Ovis aries: one gene and its partner. Each later gene encodes a partner of the first gene's protein in a complex. Links are inferred from orthologs where the notes say so. Each region holds a gene or a part of one and is shown on either strand. Other genes may lie near its edges.

What was found.
Region 2: the proteins of CDK6 (region 1) and cyclin-dependent kinase inhibitor 2A are in contact, whole or in part, in a crystal structure (PDB 1BI7), measured with the Homo sapiens proteins. The link is inferred for Ovis aries from reciprocal best matches to the Homo sapiens genes CDK6 and CDKN2A. Residues at the interface, in NP_001138778.1 of Homo sapiens: Glu14, Cys15, Val16, Ala17, Glu18, Ile19, Phe28, Lys29, Arg31, Leu33, Asn35, Gly36, Gly37, Arg38, Phe39, Arg44, His100, Asp102, Gln103, Asp104, Thr106, Thr107, Asp110, Lys111, Gln149, Thr154, Ser155, Leu166, Ala167, Arg168; in NP_000068.1 of Homo sapiens: Thr18, Ala21, Arg22, Gly23, Arg24, Glu27, Asn42, Tyr44, Arg46, Gln50, Val51, Met52, Met53, Met54, Gly55, Ser56, Arg58, Asp74, Ala76, Thr77, Thr79, Asp84, Arg87, Glu88, Gly89, Phe90, Asp92, Asp108, Trp110, His123.

What each region holds. Positions count from the first base shown.
Region 1 is NC_056057.1:10,942,650-10,947,058, reverse strand, and holds the start of CDK6 (cyclin-dependent kinase 6), read left to right. Parts: upstream 1-1,515; 5' UTR 1,516-1,657; intron 1,658-4,264; exon of another isoform or gene 4,265-4,409. UniProt on the Homo sapiens protein: Serine/threonine-protein kinase involved in the control of the cell cycle and differentiation; promotes G1/S transition. Phosphorylates pRB/RB1 and NPM1.
Region 2 is NC_056055.1:90,755,617-90,760,125, reverse strand, and holds the start of cyclin-dependent kinase inhibitor 2A, read left to right. Parts: upstream 1-1,425; 5' UTR 1,426-1,754; coding exon 1,755-1,880; intron 1,881-4,509. UniProt on the Homo sapiens protein: Acts as a negative regulator of the proliferation of normal cells by interacting strongly with CDK4 and CDK6. This inhibits their ability to interact with cyclins D and to phosphorylate the retinoblastoma protein.

The DNA of each region.
Region 1 (4,409 bases):
AAAATGTATTTTATGAACTATCTTAAGCATAAAACACACACTTTATTTTTTAAGAATAAATTATTATAATACCTTGCAAAATATTTGCTAATGAAAATGCAACAATTTTTATTTACCTAACCTGTTACTTCACATTATACTATAGAATCAATTTTATAAAGCAAAATTTTGATCTACTGTGAAATTAGCAAAATAGTTTAATTCAAAATGTCAACAGATTTATAGTGGTAGTATTTTTCATTCAAACAGAATTTTTCTGGGTTTTAATTTTTACACAGAGTCCTGAAATAAATAACATTTTTTTTAGGGTTTGCATTAAGATATTTCAAAGGGTTTCAAGTATTTTACAGATAGAGATTTTGGATAATATTGAATTCTTTCCAAAAAAATAGTCATTTTAAGTTTTGTTTTACTTCATTGTAAAAGTCTAGAAGACTTTTCTTTTCCTCCAAAATCTAATTTTCACCTGAAATATTGAGGTTTTCTCAGCAGGTAAAGTATACATTCTTACAAAGTTTCAAATTTCAGAAGTCCAGTAATGCATTTAAAGTAAGCACCCATCGAATCGTGTTCTCTCTTCTTTGTGTGTGTGTGCGTGTGTCTATTATCTTGCTGTTCTGTTACTTAAAGTCAATTTTAGGCTTTTTACCTCCACAGAAATACCTTAGTGAACCCTCGGCAGTTACTAATCACTTAATAACTGTGAGCCGGCCAGCCCCTTCAAGTAGATCGTTAACCACAAGAGTGCCAGACAATTTCCAAATCATATCCTCCGTCCAAAAGGAAAAGATAGGGCTTTGTGAGGCCGAAAGGAAGCGAAGGAAAACAAAACAAATGTAGCTCATGCTGAAAGTGAAAAGTGCTTGGACAGATTAGTATTTTCTTTTCTGCAAGGCGTCCTGCCAATTTTTTTAAATAAAGTTATTTTTTGATCTGACTTTTCAGTTTCTTGAAAAGTGTTAGTATTTACCATCCCCACCGGCCCCTCATGACTATTATCGGTCGTTTTGTGTTTTCCCCATCTGTCTACATCACTGACTGCTGAAACCCCCCGCCTGCCTCACTCTGTCAAAAACCCCAACTCTGGGCGACCCTCGGTTTGGTAACTCAGCCGACTGCCGACCACACATCCCACTCTCCCTCTCACGCCTCCTATTTTAGTCACCCCACTCCAGTTGCAGCGAAAGCCGGAAATTTTCATTTAGCTCCCCCCTCTTTCTCGCCCCCCACTCGGAGCGGAGAGCCGGGGAGCCGGAGGCTCAGAGCACAGCCGGGGCTCGGCCGCCTCCCCTCTCTCCGGAAGGCTTTAATTTGCACACTCGCTGGCCACTGAGCGGCGAGCCCCCCACCCGGCCGCCGGGAGGGTCGCGGGCCGCCGGCCTCCAGGGCCCCCCACCCCGCCCCCGCCGCCTCCCCGGCTCGGGCCCCGAGCCCGGGCCGGAGCCCCGCGGCCTCCGTCCGCCCCCAGCGCGCCGCGCGGGCGGCGCCCTCCGCCGTCCCTCCGCCCTCCGCCGCAGTGCCCACCCCCTCGCCCGAGCGAGCGCCGCTAACTCCTTCCTCGAGCCGGTTTACCTGCTCCGCGCCGCGGCGGACACGTGCGAAGGTCGACCGGTCCCCGCAGCCCCCTCGCGAGGCCCGCCGCGGCCGGGCCCCTCAGGTGAGGCGCTGTGCGCTCTGGTGGGTGGGCGGCAGGGTGCAGGGTGGGGGGGTGGTCCTTGGGGAAGACTTGGGGGCTTGGCCCGGGGTCGGCGGCTAGGGTGGGTGGGGGTGACTGGGGCGGGGAGGGGGGGCGGTAGGTTCTGGGAATCGGCTTTGGTTAACCCCTTACGATCCGAGGAGGGGTGGTTACAGGGGCCAGTTTCGGGGGAGCTACAGGAGTTTCTCCTAATCTGACTAGAGGGAAACATCCCACACGAGGGACTCCCCCCAACGCCGAGCTCCTGTGCCTGCTCGCACACAGCCTTGCGCACAAACACCCACACAAACACTTCTTATCCAGTCCTTCAAACGGAACTCAGGCTCCACTGGGAAACTCACCGAGAAATTTACATTCAGGGTTTAAAATGCACTGCTTTGGGGAACCTCACGCGGGAGAGAATGTGTTTCGGTGCCTTGTATTTATTTCCCCACGAAAGCTCCCCCTCCATCTCGCCGAGGTGTGGGTGTGAGCTCCACCTTCCCCACCGCGAGATAAATGTTAACGCAGACTTCTTGCTGGCAGCCCCCGCGGGCGTGTTCTGCACTTAAGAGAGGAGTACACGCCGGCGGCCAGTGCCCAGGCTGGAAGTCCCCCCGCAAGGATGGACGCTTGCTTTAGTTTCCTAGTTTACTTTCCTAATTTAAAATATCGTTAAAACGCACGCCCCCGGGGTGAACACCTCCTGGCCCGAGCCCCGCGCCCGTCAGTGTGCACGTGGGCGCATCTGCGTGTGTGTACACGCGGGAGTCGTGGTCCCCCGGGGCGGCCTCTGGTCGCCGCGGTGGTGGCGACCCTTGCGGTGCTTGGCAGGCTTCGGGAGAGGCACATGAAGGATTTCATTGAGTGTGAAGACAGAGAGCAGAGACAGAAAGCAGAAGGAGGCGGCTGCAGCCTTTGTAGTCGCGGAGGAATGCGGAAATGTTGAAGCACTCTGTCAAACTTTTTTGAAATGGGGTCAAGTCACATTCAGCCAGCGTGGGAAAGCAACAACAACAACAAAAAAAGTGGACGGGGCGGGGGACGGGGGGAGGCACGGCTGCTCCCGTTTCTCTCCGCCGGAGCCGACAGTCCGGGGAGCGAGGGGGGAGAGCCGGGGCGGGCGGTGCGGGGCCCGGCGGGGGCGGCGGGCGCAGCTCCCTGCGGGGGTGGGACGTCCCCGCCGCTTCCTTCGCCGCCGGGCGGCGGGCAGGACTGGGGCTGGGAGGGGGCCTGCGGGAGGGGGCGGGCGGCGCCGCTCGCCGCGGCTCCTCCGCTACCTGTGTGGCCCTCGGCCTGGCTCCGACCGCTGGTTCCTTGGCTCAGGGGGCTCGTTCCTCGGCCCCCTTACCCAGGACTGGCCTTCACCTTTTAAGGAGAATTTTGAATGGAGAGAGTGTGAGGGGCCCGGTGCTCTCCGCGGTCCCCTCCGCCCGCAGACCGCAAGGGTCGCGCAGTCTGTATCTTTAATTCCTGGCGGAAGGCGAGCGAGCCAGAGGTTGCGGGGCAGGTAATTCCGAGGAGCTCCGGGGAATTTCGGACAAGCAGTCGGAGCGGCGAATGTCCGGCGGAGGCCACAGCGTTGGTGGAGCAGAGGTCCCCTGGGTCCTGGATTGCAGCTTGAATGGGAAAGAAGAGTGCGACCCCCCCCCCCCTTCGCCGCTTTGTTGTGTGTGTGGGGTGAGCTCCGGGGGTCACTGGCTGCTATTCGGATCCGACCTTAAACTGGAAGGGGAGTGGAGCAACCTCTGCTACCTACTTCGGGAACAACCCTGGGAGTGGGGAAAGGTTCTCGAGTCCTGGCCCCGGGGGCGCAACCCCTTTTCGCTTTCCCCTGGAGGCTCAGCCTTTACTCCCCCCACCCCTCACCCTATTTAAGGGGAAGCTGAGTTTTGCTCAGGTTGCAATCGGTTGAAAAATTCAAGGCAAGTGACGATTATGCCGCTTTGCTTCTGAAGTTGTTCTCCAAGGAGACGACAAGCTGAAGTGCGGCGAGCACCTCTTTATCCCATTCTTAGGGTTCCGTAGGCGACTTCACCCGCCCCCTCGCCCCCGCCGCCACACCGCGGGGGGAGGCATCGCTCACCCACTCCGGAGTAGCGGGAGCTCCCGCCCTCTCGGATCTGATGGGTTTCCACCAGGGAGGTCTTCCCAAGTAAGAGGAAGGATTCCGTTTCCAACCCAGACTCTTTTACCTTAAAAAGACCATTTGTGTGTCGTTTTTAAATGTCTCCTCGTAGAAAAACTGAAAGTAGAAAGAAAGGAAGCAATTTCCGAGCAGATGTCTGACCACCCCTTCTCGCACACTCGCAGCATCGGGTTACAAAGGTCCTGGGAGCCCCCACCCACATTCTGCGGCCGCACTCAGGCGGACCCGAGGTCTGTCCACACCAGGCTGCGCACGACCCCAGAACGCCCCCACGGCACCCATGGAGCCCCTGTCCCCTGACGTCCAGGCCCGGCAGGCAGGGAGCGGAGCAGCGCAACACAATGATACAGGGAAATATTAAGCCGTGACATTGACGTGCCCGGCGCCTCCCCTCCCCCGCGCTCCCGGCACACTCTGGGCTGCTTGGCACGCCCCCTCTCGTTCCACCGCGTCCAGCGCCCCGCGCTCATCCCCGAGGGGCCCCTGCAACCTCTCCGGGCGAAGACGGCTCTAGCTCTGCAGGGAAAGAAAAGTAACTTCGTTTTTCTCGGAGAAACCAGGAAGGAAGCGGCCTGGGAGGGCAGG
Region 2 (4,509 bases), on another chromosome or scaffold:
CCTCCATCTCATTACCACAACTGCTGTTTTCCCCTCCTCTATCATACAATACCTTAAGCAACATTAGAAGATGTTTACATTTCCACATCATTGTTGCTCTCATACTTGAGAGGTGCCTGGAGGAAAATATACATAACACAGTGATGCATTGTGGATTTTATAATGGACTTGACTTCCCAGTCCCATAAGTGTTTTAATTGTCATTATTTAAAACCTCATGTGTTGCCTAAACTAACAGCCACTGAAAGTATAGTCAAGTATTATGGGTCTTCAAGAGGAGTCAAGTAGGAATTGAAATATAACTTTTAAAACAGAGCTGGGTTATCTAGCAGACAGATTAAACATTAACTTTTCATTAAATATGTCGGTCACTGGAAGATGTCCATCATTGTTTCAGTGATTAAGGTTTTCTTGCCTGCCCTTTTATATGTAATATTGATAATTCTACCTAAACCATTTCCTTCTCTGTCTCCTAGATTGCAAGAAAATCTTCAAAATGGATGTTAAGAGCTAACAGGCATGAGCTTAGGATGTGTGATACTGTTCTAAATGCTTATGTGTGTATCAATTCATTTAAAACTCAAAACAGTCCTAGGAAGTAGGGACACCTCTTATTCCCCCCTCCATTTTATAACTAAGAAAAGTGTAAGGTTTTTCTAACAGGAAGGAAAGGTGGACAGAAGTGGCACCAAGACAGTGTGTGAGCCTGCTTTCTGAATCATCTCCGAATGCAGCCCTGTCCCTAGAGCAATGAGCATGTTTTCTGGTGTAGGAGAAATTATTGAGAACAGAGCCTACTAAGCCCAAGGATACCCTTGCCACTTTCCTATCTGCGTACAGGTAGAAATCTCCACCATCCCTTTTAAATTGACCTCATCTGCTCGGAGCCAGCCCGTATACTGGGCACTAGTACCAGGCATTGTGCAAGCCTAGGAAACGCTCTCCCCCGACATCCGTTTTACATGTGTGTGGAGGGAGGGAGGCACAGCCTGGCGCGTGAGCCAGTTCTCCAGAAGGGACGTTTGAGCTAGAATTTCTGGCATAATCGAGCCAGCGCTCGAAAACCTGGTGCTGAGCGTTGGAGGGGGAGTGTATCCTCTCCAAGAAGGAAAGCCTCATGGTGGAATGGCTGATACCTATCCTGGGCGCTCGGGGCCAGGACAAGCTGGCTGTTTCTTCTGATTAAAAGAGGAAGCAATAACTTTGCCTATGACTCCAAACACACTGGTTCGAACTTGGCAGTTAGGAATCCTATGCAGTTGTCTCACGCCACTCAGGGTGTATACGCGAGGAATTTTCACTTGGCTGGAGTGAACTCGCTCGGAGCCGCGCGTGCGCCTCTGATGGGGGTGGGGGCGCGCTGCGCGCGGACGCGGGGCGGGGGGCGGGGAGGAGGTCCCAGGGCGCCCTCCTTTCGCGGTCCCGTCGCGCTACCGGAGCGGACAGCTTCCGGCCGGTGCCTCGGGTCGCGTGGGCGGCAGACCTGTGACCGAGGAGGCCCGGCGGGGGCTACTTCATAGACGTCTTGTTCGTTAGGAGCAAAGGGCGCCTCCTGGAAGAGCGCGTGGAGGGCGCTCCCCGGGTGGAAAGACTCCTCGGGAGGAGTCGAGGGGCCGAGTCTGGGGGCCGCTTCCGCCAGCCCCGTAGGAGGAAAGAGGAGGGGCGGGCTGCTCAGGAGCAGCCTGGGCGGGCCGCCCGCGCTCGACGCAGGCGGGAGGAAGGGAGGGAGCGAGGGGCGAGCTTTGGGGAGCAGCATGGAGACCTCGGCTGACTTGCTGGCCGCCGCCGCCGCGCGGGGCCGGGCTGACGAGGTACGGGCACTGCTCGAGGCTGGAGCGTTGGCCAACGCGCCGAACCGTTACGGTCGAAGCGCGATTCAGGTGGGTCAGCAGGTCTGCCGCGGAAAGGTGGGCGGCTGGGTGGGTGGGTGGATGGCGAGAGGCTTTGGAGGACGAGGTCCGCCAGTGAGTCGGAACCAGGTAAGCGTTTCTTGGTAAAGGGGAGACTTTTCAGACCGAGTTCGGGATCGGAGACCTCTCGGCGACTCTCAGGGGGCTCAGGACGGCCGCGGAGCTGGCTGAGAAGGCGCGTGGGGTTCAGATCTCTAAAACGGTGTGAAGATCTAGAAGGGAGAACCTACGTGTGTTAATATAGACCGATATGCGAAATTGACGAACGTCTGGAGTACGAGTATAAAGACAGTAAGACATGCTGGACCACTTACTCCCGAACTTATAAAATTGTGAATGGAGCTGATCGACTTCTTTGTTGGGGGGGGAGGGGCGGTGAGAGGGAGATTTCAGTGGAAATCTACTGCTGTGTAAGTTGGAATAAAGGTCGATTGAAATTATTCAGAAGCAACCATATATCGTGTTTATTATTTTTTTTTAACCGAGTAAGGAACATATATGCTTGTTTAGGAAATAGACATACATGAAAAAAAAAATTAGTGCAATTATGCCTGAAATAATGCTGCCAATTTAGTTACCACTTGAGTGTCTCTTACCTTTTGGGGTATTTTAAACTTACTTGGTATACATTAATTTCCTGGGAAGTTTTCAGTTCCTCATAGTTTAAAAAATGTCATTTCTCCTCTCCCCACTCCAGTTTTGTATGTGTGAGGATGAGTTGTGAGTTCGTTTTTCTGTGTGTGTGTGTGTGTGTGTGTGTGTGTGTGTTTTGCCTTCACTAACTTCCTAAATCTGGGGCTAAAAATAAATTCTTCCTGGCAGTCACTCCAGTTTTATTCCAGGTTTCGACAACGATTTCTGATTCTGAAAAATAATATTTATATGAAATGTACACTGCAAAAACTCCAGCATAACAAGACAAAGGAAAAGTAACTCAACCTGGAACTTAACAAGTGATTTCACAAGCGAATCGTCCTTTCCTCAAACTATGCTACATAGAACAGATATATTTTATATACTTTTAGATACAAAAATAAAAATAAAATATCCTCAAATCTGAGATTATTTGGGATTTGAAATGTGGAGAGATTTGGAGATTAAAAGGTTGAATGGTTGTAGAAGAGAAGCATGAGTTCTTTTTTTAAAAAATGCATGCATGATTCATAATTGGATATCTCTAAAGTTTTGCCAGCAGTTTGCAGACTGGGTGTTACAGCCTTCTAGTTCTGAAAGATGTTATATTAGACTTTATTGTTTAAATACAAAAAGAAAGATAATTAATTTTAAATTATTTTTAAATAGGATAAGGGCATCGACAAAAGGGATATGATTTTAGTTTTGAACCCTAACCAAATTTGTGTTTAAAAATACTTAGTTTATAGAAAAATTTTAATGACTAAATTAAATTTATATCTTCAGTTTGACTTAAGTACCCTAGAAATATTCATTTGAATGATTTTCTTTTTGCTTTGGATTGCTACTATGATTTAAATATTATGTTACTTTTCATACTTTAATACTGTAGCATATAATAATACCTTTAACCAATTTAATGACTAAGACCAAGGACTTCATTTATCCAACCCATGTAATATATTTTCACCTGCATTATATACAAGCATGGAAGGAGACATACATATATATATATGAGCTCTGGCACTTATAGTAGAGTTTCCAAAAGATTATGGTGTCCTTGGGTGTGGCCCCTTTGTTTTGGAAATTAATTCATAATCCATGAGAAATCCAATAGTGTAAATTTCCCCAGTTTTTATTTTAAAAAATTCTTTCTTCTAATGCACTGTTAGTTTTCCTTTTTGTAGCTGCAAGTTGGTTCACTTAAATTTTCTCTGTGGTTTTTTTTTTTTTTTTAATTAAATCAGTTTCACTTTCTCTAGGATAGAACTCAACAAGCATAGTATAACTTGTTAAGATTCCTTGGTTTGAACAAATTAATTCAAGTTTAATACAGAACTCAACTAAAAATAAATAATTCCTCAATATAGTGTAGCTAATGTAACCAAATAATGGTTACCCTAAAAAAGAATGTTCTATCACCTCCACCCAATGTATAACACTCAAATTGCAAAGTTGCTGTGATTGTGAACAATATTTCAAAATTCCTCTTTGGTAATGCTCTTGTATCATCAAAGATTATTTAGGAACCAAATGAAGTGAGCACCTCCTCTTTAATGAAGTCTGAGTGTGATCTTGGAAGGTGTCTTCCTATTTCTGCTATAACAAATTACCACAAATTTAGTATCAACATAAATTTATTATCTTATGGTTCTGTAAATCAGAATTCTAAAATGGGTCCACAAGGTTGCATTCCCTTTGGGAGTTCTAAGGAAGAATCCATTTCCTTGCCTCTCCCAACATTTAGTGACAGTCAACATTCCTTGGCTCTTGGCCCCTGCATTTTCTCTCTGACCTCTGCTTCCATTCTTATATCTTCTCTGACTGTGATCTTTTTATAAGGAAACTTGTCATTAAATTGTGCCCACCCTGACAATACAGGTTAATTGCCCGCAAAATCCTTAATTTAATCATATCCACAAAGTCCCTTTTTTCACATAAGGTAGTATGTTAACAGCTTTTGAGT